7 linked regions of the Cricetulus griseus genome follow. The protein of the gene in region 1 interacts with the protein of each later gene in a biochemical or structural test. Links are inferred from orthologs where the notes say so. Each region holds a gene or a part of one and is shown in the gene's direction. Other genes may lie near its edges.

The links.
Region 2: of the proteins of Uba1 (region 1) and Ube2l6, one has a biochemical effect on the other in vitro, tested with the Homo sapiens proteins (2 studies listed by BioGRID). The link is inferred for Cricetulus griseus from reciprocal best matches to the Homo sapiens genes UBA1 and UBE2L6.
Region 3: of the proteins of Uba1 (region 1) and ubiquitin-conjugating enzyme E2 E1, one has a biochemical effect on the other in vitro, tested with the Homo sapiens proteins (9 studies listed by BioGRID, with this or other methods). The link is inferred for Cricetulus griseus from reciprocal best matches to the Homo sapiens genes UBA1 and UBE2E1.
Region 4: of the proteins of Uba1 (region 1) and Ube2e2, one has a biochemical effect on the other in vitro, tested with the Homo sapiens proteins (4 studies listed by BioGRID, with this or other methods). The link is inferred for Cricetulus griseus from reciprocal best matches to the Homo sapiens genes UBA1 and UBE2E2.
Region 5: of the proteins of Uba1 (region 1) and Ube2r2, one has a biochemical effect on the other in vitro, tested with the Homo sapiens proteins (5 studies listed by BioGRID, with this or other methods). The link is inferred for Cricetulus griseus from reciprocal best matches to the Homo sapiens genes UBA1 and UBE2R2.
Region 6: of the proteins of Uba1 (region 1) and Ube2e3, one has a biochemical effect on the other in vitro, tested with the Homo sapiens proteins (3 studies listed by BioGRID, with this or other methods). The link is inferred for Cricetulus griseus from reciprocal best matches to the Homo sapiens genes UBA1 and UBE2E3.
Region 7: of the proteins of Uba1 (region 1) and Ube2a, one has a biochemical effect on the other in vitro, tested with the Homo sapiens proteins (6 studies listed by BioGRID, with this or other methods). The link is inferred for Cricetulus griseus from reciprocal best matches to the Homo sapiens genes UBA1 and UBE2A.

What each region holds. Positions count from the first base shown.
Region 1 is NC_048604.1:125,477,351-125,480,850, forward strand, and holds part of Uba1 (ubiquitin-like modifier-activating enzyme 1), read left to right. Parts: intron 1-1,843; coding exon 1,844-1,960; intron 1,961-2,088; coding exon 2,089-2,147; intron 2,148-2,245; coding exon 2,246-2,414; intron 2,415-2,503; coding exon 2,504-2,638; intron 2,639-3,500. UniProt on the Homo sapiens protein: Catalyzes the first step in ubiquitin conjugation to mark cellular proteins for degradation through the ubiquitin-proteasome system.
Region 2 is NC_048599.1:90,735,785-90,739,824, reverse strand, and holds the start of Ube2l6 (ubiquitin/ISG15-conjugating enzyme E2 L6), read left to right. Parts: upstream 1-1,240; 5' UTR 1,241-1,325; coding exon 1,326-1,352; intron 1,353-4,040. UniProt on the Homo sapiens protein: Catalyzes the covalent attachment of ubiquitin or ISG15 to other proteins. Functions in the E6/E6-AP-induced ubiquitination of p53/TP53. Promotes ubiquitination and subsequent proteasomal degradation of FLT3.
Region 3 is NW_023276807.1:175,441,574-175,445,663, reverse strand, and holds the start of ubiquitin-conjugating enzyme E2 E1, read left to right. Parts: upstream 1-1,290; 5' UTR 1,291-1,449; intron 1,450-1,603; exon of another isoform or gene 1,604-1,990; coding exon of another isoform or gene 1,991-1,993; intron 1,994-2,027; 5' UTR 2,028-2,060; coding exon 2,061-2,212; intron 2,213-4,090. UniProt on the Homo sapiens protein: Accepts ubiquitin from the E1 complex and catalyzes its covalent attachment to other proteins. Catalyzes the covalent attachment of ISG15 to other proteins. Mediates the selective degradation of short-lived and abnormal proteins.
Region 4 is NW_023276807.1:175,704,053-175,707,552, reverse strand, and holds part of Ube2e2 (ubiquitin-conjugating enzyme E2 E2), read left to right. Parts: intron 1-1,582; coding exon 1,583-1,730; intron 1,731-3,500.
Region 5 is NC_048595.1:101,456,931-101,461,067, reverse strand, and holds the start of Ube2r2 (ubiquitin-conjugating enzyme E2 R2), read left to right. Parts: upstream 1-1,337; 5' UTR 1,338-1,822; coding exon 1,823-1,999; intron 2,000-2,142; exon of another isoform or gene 2,143-2,386; intron 2,387-4,137. UniProt on the Homo sapiens protein: E2 ubiquitin-conjugating enzyme that accepts ubiquitin from an E1 ubiquitin-activating protein, and catalyzes its covalent attachment to other proteins by an E3 ubiquitin-protein ligase complex.
Region 6 is NC_048599.1:96,236,147-96,239,646, reverse strand, and holds part of Ube2e3 (ubiquitin-conjugating enzyme E2 E3), read left to right. Parts: intron 1-2,562; coding exon 2,563-2,695; intron 2,696-3,500. UniProt on the Homo sapiens protein: Accepts ubiquitin from the E1 complex and catalyzes its covalent attachment to other proteins. In vitro catalyzes 'Lys-11'- and 'Lys-48'-, as well as 'Lys-63'-linked polyubiquitination.
Region 7 is NC_048604.1:29,641,392-29,645,679, reverse strand, and holds the start of Ube2a (ubiquitin-conjugating enzyme E2 A), read left to right. Parts: upstream 1-1,488; 5' UTR 1,489-1,635; coding exon 1,636-1,679; intron 1,680-1,824; coding exon 1,825-1,905; intron 1,906-2,304; coding exon 2,305-2,330; intron 2,331-4,288. UniProt on the Homo sapiens protein: E2 ubiquitin-conjugating enzyme that accepts ubiquitin from the ubiquitin-activating enzyme E1 and transfers it to a E3 ubiquitin-protein ligase. In vitro catalyzes 'Lys-11', as well as 'Lys-48'-linked polyubiquitination.

The sequences.
Region 1 (3,500 bases):
AATGGAGGCCCCTGTGGATGACTGGGGAAGAATTTATGTCCTCAGGTCCCTGTATTTTGAAACCACAGATAGCTTTTTTAGCCTCATCAGGAGGGCAGTTCCTATTCTCTGAAGTTTTGGAGAAAATGGGCTTAAAGGGAATGACATCTCTGTGCCAAGTCGATACCAGTAAATGGAAAATAGGAGTTGCCTTTGTCTACCTCCCAACTTATAAAGTCTCTTTCTACCCAAGTTGGATCTAAGCATTCCCAGCAATTTCACTGGCAGACTTTGGCCCTAGGCAGCCTACTACCTCCCCTCTTCTCCCTTTCTTTACCTCTCCTCTCTGAGCACTCTGGGATGGACTCAAAGCCAATACTGACACTACTTACCTAAGACAATCACACAAACTTCTACCAGCTGCATGACACTGGGCAAGTGACTTCCATGGCAAGTGAGTGGAGCTCTCCAAGCTTTCACTTTCTATTTATGGTAGAAGCATAGGGTTATGTAGTTCACAGGCGTTGTTAGAATCACACAAAGCCCTTTACTCTTGTGAGTGATGGGGTGGGTAGTAGGAAGCTCTTGTCATTCATTGTGTTCATATTAGAATGTGACAGTACCAAGATGAATCTTAGGTATGTTGGTGGTATTGAAGGTCAGATAAGGCTTCAGAATGAGAACAGTTGTGTGATTAGAAGACAGGGTAGAAACAAAGCAAATGATTCTGGGTTTGTATTCTATTTACGAGCATCTTAATCTACCACCATTAGACTTCACTTCCAACAGCAGCCTATATTGTTGGGTTTTTTTCTCCCCTCTGGGATCTAGTGTGTCACTTGATCATGTGAGCTCAGGTTTTCTCATTTGTTCAACACGGACCTTAAACCTTGCCTTGCAGGGACAGGACAATTGAGAGCGTGAAACTTGCTAACTCCGAGATGTGGCTTGGACTTGAGTCATTAGGTCTGGTCTGATCCCAATTCCACCTCTCAGAGTAGGAACTTTGGTCAAGTCACTAAACATCCCTGAATGAAGTTTTCCCTTACATGTGAGCTGGGGTAAATAGTAGTAGTGCAATTCCCACAGGGTTGCCCTGAGGACAGACAGCAACAAGGCTCATGGCTCATAGAGTGCTTAGTGTGGCCTCTGACACAGAGAGGACTCCTAGTAAATCTTCATTTATCATTACTGCTAACCTGTTAAAGGACTTCACATGCAGAAGAGACTTTAGAAGTGTGCATTTTCTGTCTCCCTGCAGCCTGTTTTATTGGCCTGGGTTGTTTTCTACTGCTAAAACTGGGAGATGGGCAGGGCTTTAAACTCTGCCCTGACCCCCACCCCTACCCCCGGGGCCTGAGATCTGTATCTTTTCTCAACTCCGCAACACCATGGAGCCATTGTACAAAGTGAGGGAACAGCTCCACATGATACCTATAAGGGGTCAAGATTTAAAAACCTGAGTATTTCCTAATCCACATCTGTTCTCTGATCTTCCCAGAATGGTCTTCCTTTTATTCCACAGAATTGGAGTCTTTCCCTTATGCTGTGCTAGGGAGGGACAAAATGACTTAGCAGTCAGCTGTGTGGATTTGTAAGTCAAATTGCCTGGTTCAAATCTTGGGCCTGTCAGCAGTGTGAACCTGGGCAAGCCACTTCATCTCTCTGTGCCAGTTTCTTTTCTAAAGTAGATTTACTAATACTTAAGTCTTCTTTCACTGTTACCAATAATAAGCAGGAAAATAATTCAAGGCTAATCAGGGATAGATAGTGAGACCTTGCATTTAAAACAAACAAAAAATACCAGAAAAAAAAAGTCTACATGTATCCTAGGCTCACCTCTGGCTTGCCTTTTTTCCTCTAGATGTCCAGCTCGCCGCTGTCCAAGAAACGTCGCGTGTCCGGGCCTGATCCAAAGCCGGGTTCTAACTGCTCCCCTGCCCAGTCTGTGCTGTCCCAAGTGCCCTCAGTACCAACCAACGTGAGTGTCTTCCCCATGGAGACTGGCTTGCATGATGATGGCATGGAGAGTCATTTATATCACTTTCCATTTGCCCACACCCCACTCATGCATGTTGTCTTGAACTTGTTCTTGCTCTCCATCCCCAGGGAATGGCGAAGAACGGCAGTGAAGCAGACATAGACGAGGGCCTTTACTCCCGGCAGCTGTAAGTCGGGCTGAAGTCTGCCTGAAGTGGGAAGGGGCACTGAAATAATTGGATCAGGTGGGCTGGACTGTGACCTGGAGTCTTTTCTAACTTGACAGGTATGTGTTGGGCCATGAAGCAATGAAAAGACTCCAGACATCCAGCGTCCTTGTCTCAGGCTTGCGGGGCTTAGGTGTGGAAATCGCTAAGAACATCATCCTTGGTGGGGTCAAGGCTGTTACCCTACATGACCAAGGCACTACCCAGTGGGCTGATCTCTCCTCTCAGGTACCTCTTCCCAACATTCTTTGCTCTGCATCAGCCTCTGTGTGCCACATCCCTCTCACTTATTATCCTTTGTCATCCCCCTCTTACAGTTTTACCTTCGAGAGGAGGACATTGGTAAAAATCGGGCTGAGGTATCTCAGCCCCGACTTGCTGAACTCAACAGCTATGTGCCTGTCACTGCCTACACTGGCCCTCTTGTTGAAGACTTCCTTAGTGGCTTCCAGGTACTACTTGGCCACTGCTCAACCTCCTGCCTGATTTTGTTGGAACTCATTTTTTTTGGTACTGTTCACTATTTAATGAGCTGCCTTGGGTATCAGGCATCATACTGGAGAGCAGAGAGGATGCAGGCAAGATGGGAACCTGGGCATGGCTTTTAGGGGAAAGTTGTGTATACAGCATAGTAGTTATGAACAGACTGGAGGCAAAGTGTCCTGTTTTGTCTAGCTCTTCTAGTATAACTTTTAGGCAGGTCACATAGATCTTGGGCTTTACTCTTCCCATTTTTAGAATACAAATGGAAGCAGTACTGACTTCATGGGGTTCCTATGAGGTTAAGCATGAAGAATAGCAACTTGGACACAGGGAAGGTGGCATAGGCATTTACTAGTTTAAAAAGTCTAGGCTGTGAGAACTGAAAGTCTGTCCCATGAGGCTAAGGTCCCCAAGGGCCAAGGTACTACAGCAACAACAATCTGACACAGTTGTGGGAGCTCATCCTGGTGGGCAGAGATGGATGCTCTTGGAGAAGATGGAGAGCAGTTTTAAAAATTATGGTGGAGTGGGCAGCATCTTGAGAACCACTAACAGATAGGTGTGGTATGAATGAGCTCAAACTTTGGCTGGAGACAGTTTTGCCCTGTCTGTGTCTCACAGGGCATGGCAGGTTTGTAGGCAGTTAGCAAAAAGTGAGTCAGCTGTTCTGCAGTCTGTGCCCAGTACACTTTACCTTTCCCAACATGCTCCAGGCCTTCGCTTTCTCCTTGCTGTATTTTCCTCTCACTGAATCTGATCCTCAAGTCTTTATGAGAGAGGCCTGGGAGGAACAGGAGGACCTGGACAACTCTGTCTTCAGAACTGCCTGAA
Region 2 (4,040 bases), on another chromosome or scaffold:
ATTCAGAGGCTGAATTCTCTGTGTTTCAATTTCCTGAGAGTTTCTCTGACGACAGACACCACACTTTCTCAGCCTGGTGTGTTCCCTAAAATGGTGCTTGACACTCGGTATTAAGTGCTTGTTTAAGACTAACTAGAAATGGGTTCAAGTGCCCTGCTCCCTCATCCCCTACCTATATTTAGGGAATTGCTGATGGTGTACTGTTCATTGCCATCACTTAGGGGGTATCTGGTTAAAGTTATTGGGTTGAATAAACAGAATTGGCAAACGAAGCAAAGCAGACATATGGATCCCTGACAGAGAAAAAAAAAATCATGCGGCATACTGGGTCAAAACTTGGGGTTCAAAATATACTAATTTCTGGACTGCAAGGGATTAGGTGGGGAAGGTGGACTCCTCCCTAGTTTCATCACAGCAGCAGAATTTCTCCTAGATGCTGTTCAATATTGGGGGCGGGGGCGGCTGCTATTAATTACATGGTGGTCTCAACTTGGGCTAGGGAAAGGCATCTCTGCCCCTGCATAGAGGGGTGGAGACTCTTTTGACTGTTCATAAGGACACTCCGTAGGTCCATAGTTTGTAATCGGCTGGCAGTAAAATACAATAGGCTCCTGAACTCTATCTTAAGGCTTCTCCTACCCATCGGTTTCCCAAATCGCCTTACAGTAGGCACTTTCTAGGTGTTCTAGGTCGACAGAGCATCCAAAACTAAAAGAGAATGGGTCCAACAGCATCCACATGTGATGCTCAGCGCCAAGCAACCTAAAAGAAGCATCTATCGTAGCATCTCGGCCCAATTGCTGCACTGCACCTAGGATCCCACTCAACTAAGGGAGCGATACTTGGGGGGCATACAGTTTACACTGTCCCCACTCGTTTTTTGGATGAGGCACTGGGCCCACAAAGGCAAAGTGACCTGGCCCAGAGCTCTGAGAATCTTTCTGGAGGTAAGGCTTAGGCCGGAGGTCAGAGAGACCTGCAGTAGAACTAAGTTTGCAAAGGTAGTATCTCTGGCGAGTGTGTTCTCCGCATGGAGGAAGCTAATGAAGGCTGGGGATGTACTCCATCAAGGCTCCTGCGTGATGTCCCTCAAGGGGAGCAGTGTGCTCCGCGGACTTAGTCTCCTATCTACAAAGAGCTGAGTTTCTGGGATTCAAGACCACCGATCTGGGCACTTGACCGCGCCCTTCAGGTATCCACCGTTGGGATGGGGAGCACGTCTTAGAGTCCCTGTGGGTGGAGCAGATGTGGGTGGGGCTCCGGAGCTGTGGTTCCGAGAGCGGTGACCTGAGGGAGTCTGCTGCTGCCCCACACTCCCACCCAAGATGACAGCCAGCAAACGGGTGGCGAAGGTAAGCGCCTTTCTAGTGATCCCCGACCCCAAGCTCTACTCCCTCGGTTTTCCCCGGCTGACCTTTGAGTGCTTTTGTTTATCAGGGGTACTAGGGTGGGCTGAAACCCAGGCATCCTCACCCTCTCCCACTCTCCCACTGAAGGAGTGGGCGGAGTCTCTCTCTCTCTCTCTCTCTCTCTCTCTCTCTCTCTCTCTCTCTCTCTCTCTCTCTCTCTCTCTCTCTCTCCCTCTCCCTCTCCCTCTCCCTCTCCCTCTCCCTCCCTCCCTCCCTCCCTCCCTCCCTCTGCCTCTACCTCCCTCCGTGTGTGTATGAGAGTGTGTGTGTGTGTGTGTGTGTGTGTAGGGCTGGAGTTTGTGGGCCAGGATGGGGGACATACAAGACAGAGTTGTCACCAGCTTTCCGAGTTGTATTAGGGGGTGTGTATGTGGGGTGAGTATGAGAATGAATTAGCTTCCCCAAACTGGTTTCAGTTTCAATTCCGCTGAAAGTTTATTAGTGGGGCGTATCTCAGGCACCGGCAGAGTTCTGTTGCGCCACCTACTGGGTGGACCCATAATTTGATACTTTCAGAAGCTAGAGATGTGGATGGGCAGTGGGGTGGGGATGGGCGGTCCCTGGAATGAAAGTATACAGAATAGTTCCTGAATAAAAAATATCAATATGCCCTGAGTAGGTTTTTATGCAGTCCGCTACAGATGCTAAATGCCTGTTTTCTACTAGTCCAGTGCCAGGTGGCAGGGAGAAGAAAAGGAACAAAAATCTTTTTTGTTTGTTTGCTTTTGTTTGTTTGTCGACACAGGGTTTCTCTGTGGTTTGGAGGTTGTCCTGGAACTAGCTCCTGTAGACCAGGCTGGTCTCGAACTCTCAGAGATCCGCCTGCCTCTGCCTCTCGAGTGCTGGGATTAAAGGTGTGTGCCATCATCACCCGGCTAGGAACAAAAATCTTATCACCTTTGAGTGTTCATTTCTATCTGGGACACTCACTGTTTGAATACTACCTGGAAAAATGGAAAGGTGGCAGTTTCCTTAGGAATGTCTAGAGGGCTGGAGCCACGATTGGAGACCGTAGAGGAGAAACGCCGGTGAGCGGGAGCTGGCACCCCCAAGCTTTGGATCTCCCCAAAGGTCCCCTCTAGTCTGCAGAATTTAGGGAAAAACTGTTTCTTGCGGTGAGAAGGGATGTTTGCTGTCCTCAGCTCCATAAAGGAAAATTCTTTAAGGTGGAGAAGGCCAGAGCAGGCCCATCCCAGAACTAAAATTTGGAGGCTGGAGCACAATGGGGCAGAGGGTCCTTGCTACCTCAACACTAAGAGATGAACTTGCTTGTATTGCTCCAGAATCCTGAGTGCCAGGCCATTTTTTAAATCTAATTTTATAGCAACTCTGTGAGATAATTATGACTTCCCATTTTACAGAGGAGGACACCGAGATATCAGAGAGAGTAGCATGAGTGACCAGTGCTATTCAGATATTCAGCAGGAGTGATGGGTCTGGAATTGGAGCCTAGACTGACGAGGCTCTAACTCACAGGGCTTTTAACCGCCTTTGTGTCTTCACTTTCATTTCCTCTAAATCAGGTGACTTACTAGCAGACTTTGGGAGGAGCTGTGTGTCCTAGCTTGGATTTCAGCAATTATGGGAAAGTCATGACAGAATTCACCAAAGCACAAAAAATCCGAGTATTCCCAGTGGTAAAAGAGAAAATTCCCCTTCGATTTTTTGTTTGTTTTTGTTTTTGAGATAGGGTTTTATGTCCGGGTTGGCCTCAAACTTGATATGTAGCTGACAATGACCTTTAATTTTTTTAATTATTATTTTTATTTTATGTATGTGGGTATTCTGCCTGCATGTATTATCTGTGAACCATCTGCATGCCTGGTGCTACCAGAGGCAAGATCCCTTGTAACTGATTGTTTCAGAGATAGTTGTTAGCCACTATGTGGGTGCTAGGAATTGAATCCAGAGTTAGGAAAACAAGTGCACCTAACTGCTGAGCTATCTCACCAGACCAACCTCTGGTTTCTTGATTCTTCTGCCTCCATCTCTTAAGTCCTGGGATCGGAGATGAGCACCACTTTATCAAGTTTTATGCAGTGCTGGGACTTGAACCCAGGGCTCCATGAATGCCAAGCAAACACTACCAATTGAGCTGCATCTCCAGCCCAGAACATGTCCGCTCAAGATCTGTGTTCTACCTAAGCCTTTATTCTTGTCCAAGCAATTCTACCTTGTTGCTAGGTAGAATAGGCAAATGAATGGTCATGGCTCTAAGTAGAGGGCACAGGAAGCAATCTGCTGGTGTGACTAGATGTGGAAGAGAAGCTGAGAGATAGAAGGAAGTGTGGGAAGTTTATGAATTTGGGAGAGGGAGTACCGAAAGTTTACAGCAGGGAAGGGCCCTGTGTTTACACAAGCATTTCTCAACTTTTGTCTCTGTTGACCCTTGAGACCAGATAATTCTTTGTAGGATGTTTCATCAGCATCTGTGAACCTTACCTGCTGAACTGTCGTAGTACCCACCCCATTTATGACAATGGAAAATATTTCTAGATATTGGCAAATGTGCTCTAGTGGGTAAAGGTATCCCTGGATTCTCAAGAACCACTAGTTTGTATCTGTTCATTCTCCCAGAGGACTGCACTGCCTTGAATGTGTGAATGCTTTTCAACGTCTCTTCCCCCCCAC
Region 3 (4,090 bases), on another chromosome or scaffold:
ACACATTTCTTCAAAAATGCATATGCTTTGGGTAGTGGAGGAACAGCTCTTTTTGACAGGAGGCTCAAAATGATGACCTGTGGAAGTCTCACCAGTGATTTTACATGTGTTTGGAGACAACTCCTATTAGGTACAGATTTCCTTAGAGACTGAGTGAATAAAGTGCACAATTACTTTATGAATCTTACAGACCCAGCTGGAGTTTCAGATTAAAGGCTAGAAGGGGTTTACCCGTATAGTGAGAATGCCTGCTTGCCTGGTTACTATATATGCCTTAAGCTTTATATCATGTGTTACAGTAACTGAAGACTCGGTTGCCTTGGGAGGCAATGACAATTTGAATGAGATAATTTGAAGTGGACCATGGAAATCTGAGTGCGGTTGTCTGGGCATTACACAAGATCTTGTGTCTGTGGTACCTTGTACTTGGACTATAGGGATTTGTTTTTACCTTCAGGGCAAACGACAAACAGGCAAGAAACTAAGCCCTAATTTAATGGTGGAATGTTTTCAAAAATAAAATTTGGTACAGTGCCACGAAAGGAACAATTTAGTGACATTACTGTGTGATTATTCTAAAATTATTGTTTGAATAGCATCGTACTGGAGCGAAAGCAGGGTGCTTTCTAGAGCTTTCTTTCAATTTCTAAAACTCAGACTTTATACCTAATTTAAGAATTCCAAGTCTTGTCAAAACCGGCAGTTTAAGGTTTATTCCCAGTGATCTTACAACTCCCAAGCCCGGTTACAGATCCCAGTTACCTGTCATGAACTCCAATCGCGTACATAAAAACCCCCACATCCTTTTCTATAACAAGTGAAGGGGTTGTATCTAATGTTGTAAATTGCTCACGCCTGGTATCCTGAACAGAAACCGAGTCTGGGATTTTTCTCACAGGCGTGACCTCTGCTCCTAGCAAGTTAAATTGCCAGAGGGAGAAACAAGTGTCAGCCCAAAGGAAAATCCTGTTGGGGGATTTTTTTCTTTCTTTCTCTACACCGGCCACTTTTGAGGAGGAGTCAAAGTCCTCGCCCGGAGAGTACCATCTTTCCCCCCCGACACCGGCCCCCTCACCCCCAGCCCTTTCCTAAAGCCCTCCTGGGAAGAACTTCCCCCGATCACCCCAGGCTCCACCTGAACGCAGTCGTCTCCCCCATCCCGCCGGGCTCCCTCGGCTCCGCCGGGCTCCGGGTCCCCAGGCCACGCCGGGGTCGCTCGGGGATCCCGGGCCGCGGCCCCCAGGTGCGGCGGGGGAGGGGCGCGGGGCGGGGCGGAGAGGAGGAGTGGCGCGGAGCGTGTGCGGCCGGGGAAGCCATTGCCTGGTTAATAGTTGCTGTTGCTGCACTTCCGCTTCTCTCCCAGCGAGAGCGAGACACGAGTGGCCAGGCCCAGCCGCAGCCGCAGCAGCAGCCGCCGCGGCGGCACGGAGCAGCCAGACACAAAGAGAGGTGCGGGGGGCCCCGGGGCGGGCGGCGAGCGGGCGGGCCGCGGGCCTGGGGCCGCGGGGCCGGGGGCGGGCGGCACCGCCGGGCCGCGGGCAGCAGGGCCGGGCCGGGGGCGCCGAGGGCCGGGCGGCGGGGATGGGGCGGCGGGCCGGGGCGATGGGGACCGCGCGAACTGTCAGCGCGGCCCGGTCCCCGCGGGGACCCGCCCGCCCGGGGCGCATTGTGCGCGCCGGCCTGCGAGCGCAGCCCCGCGTGGCCGGGCCTGGCCAGGCGCCGTGTCCCGCGGCCCACGCGGCCCACGCTCGGCTTCCTCACCCACTCTCCCTGCCCGGCTCGTCCCGACCTCGCCAAACTCGAGGGGGACGCCGGGAGGCCTCGGGGACGGCGGCGGCGGCTCCCGGCCCTACCCGGGCCGCCCCCGCGCGATCGCGGCCCCCGCGGATCTTCGGCCGGTGCGGCGGTGGGCCCCGATCCTCTGCAGGGCGGCGGGGGCGGCCCGGCCCGCGCCCTCCTGACAGCGGAGTTCCCTCTTTGCAGCGCCTGCATGGTCTGTGTTTCTGTTTTGTTTCCTACCCCTGCAGGGGCCGTTCGCGGGGTGGGGTGGGGGGTTCGCTATGTCGGATGACGATTCGAGGGCCAGCACCAGCTCCTCTTCATCTTCATCCTCCAACCAGCAGACCGAGAAAGAAGCCAGCACCCCCAAGAAGAAGGAGAGTAAAGTCAGCATGAGCAAAAACTCGAAGCTCCTCTCCACCAGCGCCAAGAGGTACCCCACTCCTTTCTCCAGGAGTCCTAGCTTCCCAGTTGCCTCGTGCTGCATGTCAGGGAGGGTGGCTTCAACGACGTTCTCATATGTTCTCTGGCAGGAAAATGGGGCATGGAGTCCCACCTGTTTTCTCTCCTGCTTACTGTTTCTGGTTTTGTTAATGCCCTTGCCCATAAGCAGCAGTTGTGGCTGGCCTCGTCTATTTCTTGATGAAGTTTCGAGAATCCTCATTACTTTTATGAGTGACTCTGAATGTGATTTCAGAGTCCTCGTCCTGGTAATCACGAATCTGTGACTTCTCAGAGGCTGTCACCCTCCTTTATAATTAAGGGTACCTTCCGGGAACTCTGTCAATGAATTCTGACCATCTCTCTTCCTCACCTGTTGCAGGGATGACGTTTTCTGAATAGAGTTTTCTCCATAACTTGCTTAAGGAATAATCAACTCCCATTAGTGCTTAAGAAACTGAGGTGATGTTTTCTGGTGGAATTTGAAGAGCCTTTTCCGGTTTGGGGCAGATGAGTCAGTAAATAACAGTAAAATGATTATTTCAGGTATTTTGGGAGATAGTTTTGTTGGCTTGTTTAAGAAGAGATAGTTTTGTTTGTTTGTTTAAGAACTTCATTTTGATAGTTTTCAAGGAGGCCTTGTTGTTTTATTAGACAGTGTCTTATGCTCTAGCCCAGGCTGGCCTTCAGGAGTGAGCCACTCACTACACCGAGGGTTAGTCTCTTATGTAAAAAGACGGGTGAATACTTTGTCTCTGTCAACCTTTAATGACATTCCCTGATCCCTGTAGTCTAGCAGAGACCTGGGAAGCCCCTGACATCCTTTCAAAAATCCTTCTCTTTTCATTGAGATAGTTAACCATAGCAAGGAATGGAAATTGGACTAGAATTTAAAATGAAATGGGACATTTAAGTGACTTTGGCTCTCTCTGCTGAGTAGTGAGCCTGGAACTCAGATTGACAGTTTGTTCTGTCATTTTCCCTGACCTGAAATTCTTGGTATACTGTTTTAGTGACCTAACTGGCCTGATGGTAGTGACTTCAGCCCATTCTCCATAGTTAATGATCAGGTCTTGAGAGGGTGTCGAGCTGCCTTGGTAAGGTTGTTCTCATTTTCAAAGGGTTGGTGTGATAGTATCTCAGGCCCTCCTGAGTCTTAACCTGCCCTCTTTGATTAAGCCCATGTGAACTGTCTCTGAGCCTGGGTTCTCCCCTCCTTGCTGAAGATGGCGCTTCTCTCTCCCAGTGTTCTTAATCTCTCCATCCTCACTCTGCTTTGGACCCACCCCCTTAGGTCAGTGCAGCTTTTGTGTTGTGCTAGAAGGCCCTCAGTGTGTTTGTAACTATAGTGGGAGGAAAATGGACAGGTATAAAAAAGTAGAGTATAAACAATTGGATTTCTCTGCGGATATAGTTTGTCTGTTTATGCTATGGAAGTTAAAAACTTAGTTCTGGGCATGGTGGTACAGGCCTTTTATCAGCTCAGTCCTTGGAAATAGAAGCAGGCAGATAGATCTCTTGTGAGTTCAGAGTCAGCCTGTTCTACAAAGAGAGGTCCAGGAGGTCTGAATATAGATAGGGAGACTGTCTCCAAAACAAAATCAACTTTATTTGGTACCTCAAATAGTAGCGAACTGGCCTAGCATGCTTGAAGCCCTGGGTTCAGTCCCCAGACCTGTAATCCCAAGGCTCTGCCAGGCAGGAGGATCAGTTCACAGTCCTTGGCTACAGTGCATTCTTGAGTTGGAGACAGGCTCTCCTGTAGTCAGGGCCTCGTGTAGTCCAGGCTCAGTGATCTGAATAACAATGGATGTTCCCTTTCCAGGGTTTTTGGTGAGCAGGAAGATACCAGCTATAATGTACCAAGCAT
Region 4 (3,500 bases), on another chromosome or scaffold:
GCCTGGTTGAGTGGCAGAATGACAGAGGCCTCCCTGTCATGTGTGTTTTTTCCTGGTTCTGAGCAATTGTAAATTCAGGGTACCAGGTCCTTAGAACACCAAGATTTATTTATAAATTTAAGAACTTTTAGAAATTTGTGGTCATAATAAGTAACATTTAAATCTTACTGTTGCTTAGTCAAAAATTTACTAATATTTACTTATTAGTAAAATAAGGTTTTTATTTTACTTTATATGTATAAGTGTTGTATGTACATACATATATGTGTACCATATGTGTGCCTGGTGCAAAAGACCAAAAGAGAGCATTGAATCCCCTAGAACCAGAATTGCTAGCAGTTGTATGTCACCATACCAGTCAGTGCTGGGAACCAAACCCAAGGCCCCTGCAAGAACAAAGGTTATCTTAACCAGAGTCACATTCTTCCCTAGAATATTTTTATGTCATAACTTTACAAATTAAAGACAAGTATAATGGTGACCTTACTATCATAGGAAAAGATTGTATTAATAGTACATTCAAATATAAAATTTAATAAGGAATAACTTTGTGAAGTATAACAATACAGTAATAATAAATTATAACAAATACAGTTTTTTAGGTTCTTTTAAACAATCTTTTTTATATTACATACCAATCCCAGTTCCCCCTCCCTCCCCTCCTCCTACCCTCCCCACATTCTTCCTAACCCCCATCTACTCCTCAGAGTGTGTAAGGCCTCCCATGAGGAGTAAACAAAGTCCTTCAAACCATGTTGAAGCAGGACCAAGACCTTCCCCACCCCTGTATCTAGGTTGAGCAAGATAACCCTCTATAGGGAATGGGCTCAAAAAAAAAAAAAAAAAAAAAAAAAAAAAAAAAAACAGTTCATGCACTAGGGATAAATCCTGGTCCCACTGCCAGAGGCCCCATATTGTCCCCCAAGCCCCCCAACTGACACCCACATTCAGATGGCCTGGTTCAGTCTTATGCTGGTTCCCCAGCTGTCAGTCCAGAGTCAGTGAGCTCACACTAGCTCAGGTCAACTGTTTCTGTGGGTTTCCCCATTATGGTCTTGATCTCTTTGCTTATATTGTGGCTCATCCCCAGTGCTCAGTTGTGCATCTCTGCATCTGTTTCCAACATATACAGTTTTAACATGAAATTATATAAAAGAGGCATGTGATACGTTTATATACCCTCATTCGTGTTTTAAAACTGTATTAAAGAACACTTATCTTCATTGTATTATTCCCAAGCGTTCTGGGTTTTGTTGTTGTTGTTGTTTGTTTGTTTGTTTTTTGTTTTTTTGGGGTTTTTTTGGATCTTCTAAATGTAAAAAGTAAAGCAACTAGAATCCACCAAAAGTTTTTGAAACATTTCAGAAGTCGGGCCCATTTCCTGCTCATAAACATCCTGTGGTTACATCAAGTTAAACTCCTCAGCTACACCAGAAGCAGTGTGCAGATTCTACTGAGTGCTCTGTTTTCTGTCACAAATTATCTTTATTTTTAATCTATTGATTATTTTCATATATCTATTAAAAACTTCAGCCTGGACCTCAGCCATTTCCTCTTATGGCAACTTTGCATTTTCTCCCAGGTCACCTTCCGAACGAGAATCTACCACTGTAATATCAACAGCCAAGGGGTGATCTGTCTGGACATCCTCAAGGACAACTGGAGTCCAGCCCTGACCATCTCTAAAGTCCTCCTGTCCATCTGCTCACTCCTTACAGACTGCAACCCTGGTGAGTGGCCCTGGATCTGGTACCAGATTGAGAAGCACAAGGTTGCCTTTGAACCTGTTAATGCTGCTAGTGTTCCCTACCCCAGCTGCTCATTATCATTGATTTTAACTTTCCATGCTCTATAACTGTGTTCTTTTTAGATTGGTTCTTTCCATTCACTTCTTTCTGAACCTATTATTTACCAAAAGAAATTTAAAACAAAATATGATAAAAATTAATGAAAACTCATTTTAAATGAGAAAAAGTGTATTTTAGAATGCATTAAATTCTCCTACCACATAACAATAAAAATTCAAATTGAATAGCTTAATCTTTAATTAGATACCTAGTAGACATGTTAATTTGAGAAATGTGGGCTATTAAAATCTCATAACAGCCAAGGCAGCACCACACAGATGTGACCTCCAGTGCAGTAGCAGCCGTGCGCCCTGATAAGCTGTTAGCAAAAAAACTGAATGGATCTAAATCAGGAAGCAGGGCTTGCCAGGAAACTAAGGTGGCTATCGGCATGTCTTGGCCCTCTGCTGAGCTTTGCACTCAGGTTCTCAACTCTTGTTTCTTCCTCTGCATGTGATCATGTGCCTTTGACAACTTTGCTTTAGCTACAGGGCAAGCCAGCTATGAATTGTGCTCATATATGGATTTACTCTGGAAAATACAGAAATCCTAGAGTAGTTTTTGTTCATGCTCTCCATGAAACTTGCATTTTTCAGTGTTTTATTAATTGTCATGAAATCCCATCTCCTGGGTAAGGCCCTTGTGAAATGTTTTTAGTTCACTCACCAGGTAGATAGTAAAGTCAGATCAGATGGCACCATGAGAGTTGACTGTCACTGCAGGCCCATCCTCTCCTGGCTGCACCCATTTCTGCCTGCCACATGTATGACCTTACTTAGAGGTGATGTTGCAAGGAGGCTTTCTTTGTTGTTACTTTTGTTTTGATGATTTTGGCCTTTTACCACAAATCAGCAGTGAACACCTGCTTTCAGAACAGGTCCCCTGAACTCATCCACCTCTGTCTAAAGAAATGGCTATCAATATGTCGTGCTGTTGGAGAGAGGCTGGAACTTTGGTTAATCAGTTGGGTTTTGTTTGCTTGTTTCTTTGATTGGTGTTGCTGTGTCTCTCAAAAGTTTACATTGTCTATAAAACTAAAACTCACCCCTGACCAAAACAAAAGCTCATATTCTGAACCAGGGATGCTGGCCTGCACCAGGTTTGCTGGTGTACTTCTGTAACCGCAGCACTCACTTGGGAGGATGAAGCAGAAGGACTGAGAGTTCAAGGGCAGCCTGAGCTACGTGGTGAGATCCTGTCTGACCCATCTCATCTCCACTAAAGAAATAATGCATTTTTTTAAATACTGGCATTCAGTAGGAATATCAGGGCAGAAAATAATAGTGGTCCTTAGAAGATGAACCACTTTTGTGATAGGAGTCTAAAAAGGGGATTAAGAGCACTGACAGCTCTTCCAAGGACCCTGGTTTTGTTCCCATCACTCAAGCGTCAGCTCACAACCATCTGTAACTCCTATTCCAGGGGATCCAACACCTCTTTCTGGCCTCCTCAGGCACCTGGCATGTAAACAGCACACAGATGTACAAGCAAGAAAAACACCCAAACACATAAAAAATAATTTTAAAAGAGACTAGAACAGTTTGTGATATATGCTAATCATCACATTCTGGTGCGTCTAAGAAGACCACCTGAGTGACACTCCACTGTACAAATGTTGACATTCCTGGGTTCTTTCAGTAGAGTTCAGTTTGA
Region 5 (4,137 bases), on another chromosome or scaffold:
TGTAACTAATCAGTTTACAGAAACTGATCAAACAAGGAGTTGGAATGGAGCTTTCTGAACCCAAAATGGTATGTTTGGAACCTGTCTCAGTATTCTGGTTACTGTTTTTTTGAGACAGGGTTTCTCTATGTAGCTCTGGCTGTCTTGGAACTTGCTATGTAGACTAGGCTGGCCTTGAACTCAATCAACCGGCCTCTGCCTATCAAAGGCGTGAGTCACCTCGCCCAACAGTATCCTGGTTTCTGTAGCAAACAATCCTTGAGTACCCTAACCCCAGGGACTGAAGACTATGTCTTCCTATCTCTTCAGTCATGCCATGTTCAGGTAGATCAAGCAGAACGGATCTGTAGGAGGTAAAAGTTCAACCACAGCCTTTTGCTTTTAGACATAGGTTCTCACAATGTAGCCCTGACTGGCAAGGAACTATCAGTTCCTTGACCAGGTTGGCCTCACACTGACCCTTCTGCTTTTGTCCCCCCTCTTCCTTTCCAAGCTCATACCAGGCCAACCTCAATATTTTGCAATCGGGTACTGTAAGCTATAAGCAGCACTCTTGCCAATCTCTCGGAGGACCTGGAATCAGGTTCAGCATTAGCTTTCTACTCTTTCCACACAACCTCTCTCGGTAAAAGGGAGCGGGAGCTAGCTTATCTGCTTTTCTCTAGTTCTCCTTTGGGAGACTGCCTTCCCTAAGGTGGGCGACTTGCCTAGGGGCTTCATCAGCTGGAGACGCAGCTTATTCTGGCATCTACTAAGTGTGAGGACCACAGACCAGGTGTCCCTGAGAGGAGCCCTCAGGGGACCAGGCTCCACGCAGGAAGACTGCGGAGGCCAGGGACACACACAGGGCGAGAGCGCCGAGAGCCTTAGGACCTGAGGTTCCTTCCGGGGCACGCCTCTGGAACCGCGGCGTCCAGCCGCACAACCGTCACTTAGGGCCCAAAGCGATCCTCGGCGGCCCGCCCTTGATCCCCACCGCCGCTTGGCTCTTTAAGGGTGGGGGACACGCGCGGGCGTCACAAAGCGCCGCCACCGTGGGGCCTGGCGGGGGAGAAGCTGGCAGGCGGGAGCAGGAGGCGAGCAAAGCCGAGCGAGGAGGGCGGGGGAAGGAGGGGCGCGCGCACGCGCACCGGGCCGCTGCCGCTGCGAGCCGCCCCCCTCCCGGCGCGCGCCCCTCCCTCTCCCTCCCTCTCTCCCTCCCTCCCTCCGTCTCTCTCTCCCTCCCTCCCTCCCTCCTTCTCTGCTCTGTCGCTCCCGCGGCGCGAGGCGCTCTCGCTCCTCTCCTCCGCCCCTCCCCCCGTTGCAGCCGCCGCCGCCGCGCCGCCGCCGCGCCCGCCACCACCGCACCACCACCACCACCGTCCCGAGACCCCAGCGCACGGCGCGCCCTCCCTCGTGCGCCCCTCCGGCCCCCGCGGAGAACGAGAGGGCAAGCGAGCACGGCGCTCCCGGCCCAGCCCGGCCCCCCTGTCTTCACCATCGCCTGCCCTCCGCCGCCTTCCTTCGCTTCCACCTCCACTCCCCCCCCCCAAGTAGAGGCCCCCTCCGGGGGGGGGAGGCCCGGGGCCGGGAGCGGATTCCCCCAACTCCCTCAGGCCCGCCCCCGCCCGGCCCGAGTGTGAGGAGGGCCCGGGCCGGTCCGCGTCGAGAGTGAGGAGGACCCCGGGCGGGCCCGCGGGCCGTCTGGGGCCTGATCCGGCCCCGCCAGGCGTGTGAAGACAGGGGCCCGGCCCGGCCCGAGGGCGAGCGGAGGGGAGGGGCCTGGTCCGGCCCGGCGGGTGCGCGAGGACTGGGGCCGCGGCCCCGCACGGCCGCCGCCGCGATGGCCCAGCAGCAGATGACCAGCTCGCAAAAAGCCTTGATGCTTGAGCTGAAATCCCTGCAGGAGGAACCAGTGGAGGGCTTCCGGATCACCCTGGTGGATGAGTCCGACCTCTACAACTGGGAGGTGGCCATCTTCGGACCCCCTAACACCCTCTACGAAGGCGGCTACTTCAAGGTACCCCCCACCCCTTCCCGGATCCGGCTCCCCGGGGCTCCGCTGTCCGCCGCGGGCCGGGAGCGTGAGCGCGGGGGAGCCGAGGGGGCTCCTCACCTCGCAGCCCCCTCCCCCATCCGTGGAGGCAGGAAGGCCTTGCTCACCAAGTGCCTTTTCTTTGTCATGGGGCGGGGGCGGGAGGCCAGACTGCACCGGGAAATAGGAAAGCCTCTGTGGCTGGGGTAGTGGCTACCGGGAAGGAGGGCTGCCTTTGTTTTGTTTCTCCAGCTGAGGGTGTGTGGAAATAGAGATGGTCTATCTTCTCTTTCTCGATCCATCCGAGCATTCTCTGCGCAGGCTGGAACTGCCCCAGAGGGCAGGGTGACCTGCACTTATTGGATTGGACTTTTCTCTTTTTGGGGGGGGGTGTGGGGGAAGAACATTAGCCTGTCATTCCCGATGTTGCTAGTGCTCTGACATTTGAAGGATTTGTTTGTCTTGGGTAGGAGTAGTCTAACTTTTGATTCCAGTAGATGCTAATAAGGAAGAGGACAGGGTGGAGGGGGGCATAAAAGGGAGGGTGGTATGCTGGCGTTGCTTTGCTCATCTGCTTGAGGGGACTTTAATTTAGCCCTATTTCTGCCCTCGTTCTCCATTTACTTCATAGTCTCCCCTGCTTTTAAAATGCCCTTTGTCCTTTCCTACCAAGTTTATTAGCACCCCCCCCCCCACACACACACCATGTACAAACATCCACAAAGGGTGGAATGTGTCAGTCAGAGAGATTGATAGTTTCCCACTTTTAGGGAGAGAAAATTGAAAGCTTTTGCATAGGAGGTTGGCTTCTGCAAATGGGGTCGTCCCACAAATGAGAAGCATCCGAGGTGACAGGGTTTCTCACGGTGGAGTGGCTCCTTAGGCAGCCACTATATAGACATTGTTTCCTTTGTTTTTCCTGCATTATTCCTGAATTCAGTACTTGGAGACACTGAGGTTTTGTGTGTGTGTGTTTGTTTGTTTGTTTGTTTTTTGTCTTGATTTGACTAAAGCGTTTTTTTGGAGGGTGGAAACCCCGAGTGAAGATGGAGTAGGGGGTTAGAGACAGAGGAAATGAGTGTTTAGGAATCCATTTATTTATTTATTTTTATTTCCAGAATTAAGAAAAATAGGCCAGTGAGTCAATTTTAGTTTGTTTTGAAGGGAGGGGTTATCTTGGCACAAGTTTTAAACGAATATCTTAGTCATGTAGATGTGATGTGTATTTTTAGGACTACCCAATTACTTAACTCTTACTTTCTACCGTTCAAAAGCCTCAATTTCAGGCCTTAAACTGGGTCAACTTTGTTGAAAATAGGATTGATAGGGTATGCTCAACATTCATGCATGTGACAGTTGCTGAATACTTAGTAAAAGGACATTTTTAGAATATTATGTAAGAGTGGTATCCTTACCAACTGTTTGCTTTGTCTTTTGTGGTCAGTATACACTATACTTTTTTTTAGATGCAGGTGCTTAAAATTACTAAGTAAAGGCTCAAGTTATTAGTGACAGATTGGAAAGGGTATTATTGTGTCCATGTTGTGGTATGTCATGTACTGTCAAATATAAACATTTTATTTGTAGATATTGGAAGTATTGCACAAAGTGGAATTCATCTGATAACTTTCCTAGAAAATACTTTGAAAGCAAACTCTTGGTTAATTTTAAAGGATACAGTTTGTTTTGCTTTTTTTTTTTTTTTTTTTTTTTTTTTGGTTGAGACAGGGTTTCTCTTTGTAGCCCTGGCTGTCCTGGAAAACTCTCTGTAGACCAGGCTGGCCTTGAATTCATAGAGATCTACCTGCTTTTACCTTCTGAGTGCTAGGATTAAAGGCCTGTACCACCATGCCTGGCTCAAGGATACAGTTTAATTTCCAAAAAGTATCGTTACTAGAACAACCAATAATTAAGGTAAATGGATTGTAGTTAATCTCCCTCTATTGGAATTTGTGTTTAAAAAAAAAAAAACAAACAACTAAAACTAGGAAAGAAAGTAACTACTTCTGTTTACTAATGGGGAACACAGTGTGACACTCTTGATTTGGAATTGATAATATGGAGATACTTCTGTAGCATACACTAATTTAAAGTAAAGGCTTTGGGCTGGGAATGTAGCTCAG
Region 6 (3,500 bases), on another chromosome or scaffold:
TGCTTTGAGTTAATGGACTCAGTCCTGAAGCTACCTTTTCCCATTCCTCTTGGTGGATTTGTCCCAGCCTCTCTCTAGTCCAAATGATGCCTTAATGAAAACAAAAATAGACTCCTTGGGCCAGGTGCTTCTGTCACACTTAATGTCCTGCTATCATAGGGTTAAATGAACCCCTTTTCATGTCGTATGAGAGAGAGGGAAAAAAAAAAGCAAACATAGGATCAAGAGTTTAGTTTCCCAGTGGGAATCTCAGCTCTTCTACCCCATAATGGAATTTAAGATGGATTCTTTCCCCCCTCCATCTTGATTTCCTCAAGGGTTGGTAGATTTATCCAAAGCATCATCTTTTCAGTCTGTAATTCTACAGTCCATTAAAATGCATTGACTTCAGCTTGACTTCTGTTCAGTCATCTATAATTTAAGTGTTCTGGGCAATTTGGTTATTTGGAAGTTGGGTCATGTGTATTTGGGTACTTATACAAGTAATATTTGCAAAGCCTGCCAGGAAAGCAGAAGTAGCCACAGTGAAATTAAAGACATGAATAGAAACATTTGAGACTATAGAATAGCTTTTGTTGAGATTTTTGTCTTCTGAAGTTTTCTAGTTTTTCGGTGTCAGTCTTGCAGAGTTAATAACATGTAGTTAAAATGATCCCCCTTTTAATATGGTTGCAGTACTGTTTCACACTTACTATTTAAATAGGACCTCCAGATCACTTCTAAATTGATGGGTAGTTTAAAAGAACAAAAGCATATGCATATTTACATGTATAAAGCCAAGATAATTTGTGGTGTAAAAACCTAGAGGAACATGGGTGGGAGACATGCCTCTGCCATTAAGAAAATATGATGCCTTTACAGAGGATCTGATTCCCAGCACCATATCAGGTGGCCCTAGACTCCAGAGGATCTGAAACTGTCTCCTAGACTCTGTGGGTACCTTTACTCATGTACACATGTCCTTCCTGTTCACACCACCCGCATATACACATGATTAAAGATATGGGTGAAAAAATAGAGGAAAATGGGAATTTGTAAGGTGTGTTTGAAGGATGTTTATAGGCATCATAGAGTTGCATTACTAACAACAAATTTAGTTTAGATTATATTGAACTGTTAGTTTTTATTCCATAAATGATACTGATGTTGAGCACAATGCATTATGTTAATGTGTTCAGCAGAATTCAAGTCTTGATTTCCTAACATTTCTCCTACAAGGACCCAAGGTTCCTGAAGCTAATTCGAGGACTGGAAGAGTAGAGCATCTTTTCATGCCAGAAAGGAAGAATGGACTCTAAAATGTTGCCAGCATGTTAGAAGCTGTTTTGTAGGCCCTCCCACCGGGCTAATATGGGATGATTCAAGCAGTAGTAAATTGTAAAGCATTGAAAAGATTTAGTAATTTAGGAGACCATATCAGTAACATAACATATAAACACATAGGGCAAGACGGGGCTCAAGACAGCTGTTAAATGTGGAGAAAGAACTGGAGTTGAAAAATCATCATTATGCCAATATCATAGTAAATTTCAGAGGACTCCAAATAAATATTAAATCTAGAGGAGAAATTTGAATGAAGAGTAGGCTATTTGCATGGTTGTAATCTGACCAAAGAATACATATCGGTTGCAGGGAAAGATAGTAACTAAGCAGTAGGAAATTTGGAAGGCGTCTTCTATGGCTGAAGTTTAACATCACCAGTGAGGAAAAGGACACCATATCATGTACTTCAAACTGTCATGACCCCCCCAAATAACATACCACTTATTTACTTCTCTGGTTAGGAGTGTATTGTTTGAGTCTCATTATGAGAGAACCACAGACAAACTCAAATGGTCTTGCATATTTATTTGTCAAATAAAAGAAAAATTAAGTAATGATAGGACCCATGTTAAAGGAAAGTTAAGGCATAGAGCTTAAATTGGTGTGGTGAGGTGCACATGGGGGATTATGCCTGCAATTAATAGCACTGCAAATAGGCAGGCAAGAGTATTGGAAGTTCTAGGCCAGCCTGGGGGTTACATAATAAAATCCCATCACAGAATAGATTAAAAGTATAAGACATAAGATTTTCTTGATCCCAATACCTTGTACCTGGGGGAGAATATTAAGTGTATTAGAGTTAGTTTACAGTTTTATCGTACAGATTCTAGATTACTGTGGATGACATAGTTACTGAAATTGTAACTGTTGATTTGTAAATTATTTTTTGGAAGAGCACACGTTAAGTGTTTACATGGAAAGGATAAATGTGTGTGTGTGTGTGTGTGTGTGTAGGGGTAGCAGGAGAAGGAGGGAGAAAAGGAGGCAAATAGCAAAAGTTATGAGGTGTTGGGTAAAGTTATATAGTAGTTGTGTTTTCATTGTAATTTCTGTTTATTTGGAATATTTCAAAATTTATGCATGTGTACTTGAGCACACTTATCTCATTGCTTTAGATTGCTTATTTAATTTAATTCTAATTTTGTATTCATCTTTAGGTGTTAACCTAAATTTTTATAGACATGTATACAGGTATTTATATAGGATGTATATTGACTTTTTTTTATTTCTTTTAAATAGTGCTGGCCCTAAAGGAGATAACATTTATGAATGGAGGTCAACTATACTTGGTCCACCAGGTTCTGTATATGAAGGTGGTGTTTTTTTTCTGGATATCACATTTTCTTCAGATTATCCATTTAAACCACCAAAGGTAAGAACCTAGATATACATTGATTAATTACCCTTCTCCCAAACCCAGGTATTCTAGAATTTACATGTATATTAATGTAATAATTTGCTTTCATTGTTGTTCATGAATTAATATGGAAACTCAGTTATTTTGAAACCAAAATGTTACAGACTTCTGGCTTTTTAAAAATAATTTTATATTCAAAATAGTTAATAGTAAATAAAACTACACATTGATTAAAACATAAATAGAAACTTATGTAAAACTCCCTCTATGAAATAAACCTTATTGATAGCTTTCAGAAATAGGTTAATAATAAGGATTTTGTCTTTATAGATAAGCAAAAACTAGAAAACTGACAAAAGGAAAAACTAATACTTAACACTCTCATTTTTTGCCTTCTGTGAGTGTAGTGTAAAATAGAGTGACAGGCTCACTTTTCCCTTCTTCTTAATTCATTTAACCTGAGTGTTCAGCTTGATAACAAACAGAAAACATGGTACTTACTTGAAGGGCTTTTTCCTCTGACTTCTCATTATAAAGTACTCAAGTAAAAAACCTGGAGCTTAGCCTTTGTAGCTGAGTTTATTAAAGAGGAATCCAGTGTGCCAGGGAGGTTTTCAGGACCATGGCCTCCAACTAGTAAAGTGCTCTGCACCTTTTTTTTCAATTGCATAAATTTTTTTTTTGATGTAATGCATTCCAGTTATGGTTTCCCCTCCCCCAACTCCTCCCAGATCTGTCCTCCTTCCCCATCAACCCAAATCGACCTTTTCTTTCTCTTTCTCCTTGGGACACAAACAGGCACCTAAAACAGTAAAATAAA
Region 7 (4,288 bases), about 96 Mb from region 1:
ATGGGAAAGAATGCGGATGGCCCCTGGGAGGTGGGATTGCCTGGTATAGTGTCTCTCCACCCAGTAGCACAAGAGCCCTGCAGCTGTTCTCTTGGGAGCAAATTCTGATTAGCCCAGCTCTAATGGTGTCACTGCCCTACTCAACCACCTTCCAAGGATTCCATTAGCTTGGCATTCAAAACTCTCCGGGATTTAACTCAAACCGGCCTTTCTCACAATTTCCATCATTCTCAAATGTGTACCTTATCTGCCTACTGAGTGGTTTTTGGATTGATCTTTAAAAATGCTTCTTTCAAACTGTTATTGCTTTTGCAGGTCCCTGTCCTACCTGAGAATCTTCCTTGCAACTCGCAGCTTTCCACGTGCACCCTGCCGTTACCTTTCCTTCCGACCTTCTGTCCTTCCAAGGCCCTGCAGCTGGATAATCTCATACCTTGGACTCTTCTAAACTAGCTGCTTGGATTGTTGAATTGCCAAGGGGAAATGTGGTTCCAGAGACAAATTGTGAGTTCCCAGAGCAATTGTAAAACGTCCATTTTATCTGCCTGAAGCTCTCGTTTCAACCACCACCCCAACAGCATTTCATTCAGCCCCAGGCTTAAATGTTGGGATTGATTTGTGCACCCTCATCCCAAAGAAAAGGGACCCTGAGTCCATTTTCATAGTCAAGACCCATTTAGTTCTTTATTTTCACTTTGCCCCGCTTGTAACCATTACTTCAGTGTCCTGTGTCTGCAGGATTATGACCCTAATATTCATGCCTGTTGAGGACAAGGTTTCCTCTGCCAACTCTTTCCTCCACTCTTCTCCTTCACCTTCTCTCTTGTTTCCTCCAACCTAGACAGTAGTTGGCACTTTAATAAATTATTCCTTCTCAAAACAAAAGAAGCCAAGGGTGAAGGCATATTCCTGTCATCACAGACATTGGCAGGCGGAGGTGACTTCAAGGGTCAGCCTCTGGGATTCACAGTGAGTTTGAATCAACCAGTGTTACATTGTATACTACTGTAGGAGACCAAAAAAAAAGGGGGGGGGCGGGAGCTTATCATAAAATAAGAAATAAAGACTGGCATTTGGGAGATGAAAGCAGGAGTTCAAGGTCATCATCAACTACACTGTGAGTTCGAGGTCAGCCTGACCTACAGGGGACCCGGTCTCAAAAAAGAAAAAGAAAAGTAAGTAAATACAAAAGCAAAACTTCACAGGGTTCGCCTTCAAATCAGCAAGTGGAAGCAGAGTGGCCCCCTTGTTAAGTTCCCGTGGGTTGAAGACTTCCATTTACTCCCAGGCTAGCCTTCCTCTGAGAACTTGGCCGCCACCTCCACAACAGCCTTGGCGGGGGGGGGGGGGGGGCTTTCAAACTGGGTTTGAGTGACATAACAACTTTCGTCCCCCCCCCCAGCCTCGCGTCTTGGTACGGCCTACCCGGCGTAAGCCGTTTCACCCCCCCCTTCTCCTCAGGTTGGTTCAGCCCCCGTCTATTCAGGGGTGGTGCTTAGCCGGCGCCAGACCGACCCTCGGCTTCGCAGAGGCAGTGCCGTTCCTCTCGGCGCTCCCTCCGCTGTTTCAGCTTCCTCCGTTTCCTCTGGGACCAGAGACCCTGGTATATGTACCACCTCTGACCCCGCTAGAGACATGTCGACCCCGGCCCGGCGGCGCCTCATGAGGGACTTCAAGAGGTAAAGTCGTCCGTTGGGGACTGGCGGTTCGGGGGTTGCCTGCTGGGGCACAGGGCGGATCCCGAAACGGAGCGGCTCGGGGTGTGGTGATGGGGGGCCGGCGGCGGGTCGCGGCACTGAGGGGACCCGGTGTGCGTTTCTGAAGGTTACAAGAAGACCCTCCAGCCGGAGTGAGCGGGGCTCCGTCGGAGAACAACATAATGGTGTGGAACGCGGTCATTTTTGGGTGAGTCTCTCTGTTCCAACGGCTGCCCGGGGATGAAGAACCCGGGCCGGCCCCTCGACGAGCCCAGCGGGGAACGGGGAGGATATTTGGGGTTGCTTGGGCCTAGGCGCCTCCCCGGAGCCTCTGCCTCGATTAGCTCCCTTCCCGCTGCCGGGGGAACCATTCTGGGGTTCTGGGGGGCGGGGTGGGGAGCGGTGGAGGCCGACACGGGCGGCCTGCTTTGCCTCCCCGAGCCCCCAGACAGGGAGCGGAGTGACTTTCGCGGCCCCGACAGCGGTGATGGAAGGGAGGCAGGGATGGGAGCCCTTGACAGAGCCACCTCCTCAGAAGCACAGGCAAAAAGGGGACCCTCTCCGCGGGCGCTAACGGGGTTTTTTTGATTTTGTTTCTGTGTTGCAGGCCTGAAGGAACCCCATTTGAGGATGGTAAGAGTTTTTATACCAGTCTTCTAGGAAGCTGTTCTGTCATCAGCAAGCGCCCCCTCTGCTTAACGAACCTGCCTTGCCTTTTTCCTATTGAAAGCTTGAGTGAAATCTAGTGTGTGGTGGGTTCTGGGGAGGCTTATGCTTAACCAGAACTGCACTTTTTCTGTCGCTTTCCTCCATTGAAAACATTCTAGGGAAAAGTCACTTTGTAAAAGAACTGCCACAGCACTGGCATTAAGGATTTGGAGGTTTGAGCAAGGGGCCTGCTAAATTCAGCCCCCATGGAAGTAATTCAGTACGAAACCAGTCCACCAGAGACCATCTGGTCTGGTATTCATTCCATCCCAAGGGCAAGAATTTGTTCATCAGTGCTTAGTGTGCGCTTTGTTGAGTGCTGACTGGATGCAAGATTCTCTGACACACAATTACCTGGCGTCTACAGCACGACATAGAAGGCACAGCAGCCTCACTGTCTTAAGGATGCTCTTAAATGCCTAATATATATTACATATAGTATGTTATATGTAATATATACTACAACAGTATAATGTTGTTCCTGGATTTGAAATTCATTTACAGAGTGTGCTTTTATTAGGATCTCTGATTAGCAATTTTAAAGTGGTTTTAGAACTGAGATTTGCCTTACAGTTGTACCCCTTTGGCCAGTGTCCAGCATACTTGAATGCCTACTTTGTATCAAGAGGTGTATAACTTTTAAACAATTTACGTTTAACTTCTAAAAACCCACATTAACTGCTCTCCAAAAACTTTATATTTTCAATGCCGTCATGGTGTCCTATGCACTTGTAAGGCAGAGGAGGAGGTAGAGGCAGGTTAATTCAAGAATGCTCTAGCCTACTAGTTCCAGGCCAGCCCAGGGATACATAGCAGAAACCTTGTCTCAAAAGATAAAGCAACAAAGAAAAAAAACCCTTGTATTTTGACATAGTTACAGATGCCTGTGGAGTTGAAATACTATAACAAGTGCTTGTGAACTCTTCACTTACCCACTTCCGTGCACCCTCCCATATTTGGTCATCTCTTGAATGACTGACTGTACTACAATATCACAGTCAGAATTGATAGCGATAGTTTTTTTTTTTGGGGGGGGGCGGTTGTTTTGTTTTTCAAGACAGGGTTTCTCTTTGTAGCTTTGTAGACCAGGCTGGCCATGAACTCACAGAGATCCTCCTGCCTCTGCCTCCCAAGTGCTGGGATTAGAGGTGTGTGCTACCACTGCCCAGCTAGTTATACAGTTTTATAGGCAGACCATTGTGTGTGTGTGTGTGTGTGTGTTCAGTTCACCCAGTTAGTGATACAGTTTTATAGGCAGACCATTGTGTGTTTAGTTTTTTGGGTCTTTTAAAGTTTAATTCATTTAAAGGATGATTAAAACTATTTGAGTTCATGGGATTTTTTAGTGTTTGGGCTACTAAAAAATAACCTTTCTGTAATTTTTTCTCAATGACTTTCTTTAGTAACATATGCATGTGCACACACACATAGACAAAGACACCTTTTAGTTTAAAGGTGACAACCAAAATATTTCATCATTTTTCCAAGACGGTTTCTCTGTGTCCTGGAACTGTCCTGGAACTTGATCAGGCTGGCCTTGAACTCAGAGATCTGTCTGCCTCTGCCTCCTGAGTGCTGGTATTAAAGGAGTGTGCCACCATTGCCTGGCCCATTACTGCTAGTAACAAAATGCTGTGAAGTAAGTCAAGATAAGCCCATTCTATAATTTGTCCCAAACACTAAGACACCCTTAGGAAACCATGGATAGTCAACAAGTTACTTTTAGCTTTCTCTCTACCTCACTGACTAGGTAATTGCTGCTGCTGTTTCATGCTGCAATAAAAAGAAAGAAATGACATAAGAGAGAGTGATGTTAGGACATACTACTTTGGTAAATTTAATATAAGAGCTAGCCAGGCTTTTCTCTACTAGATTGGTACTAT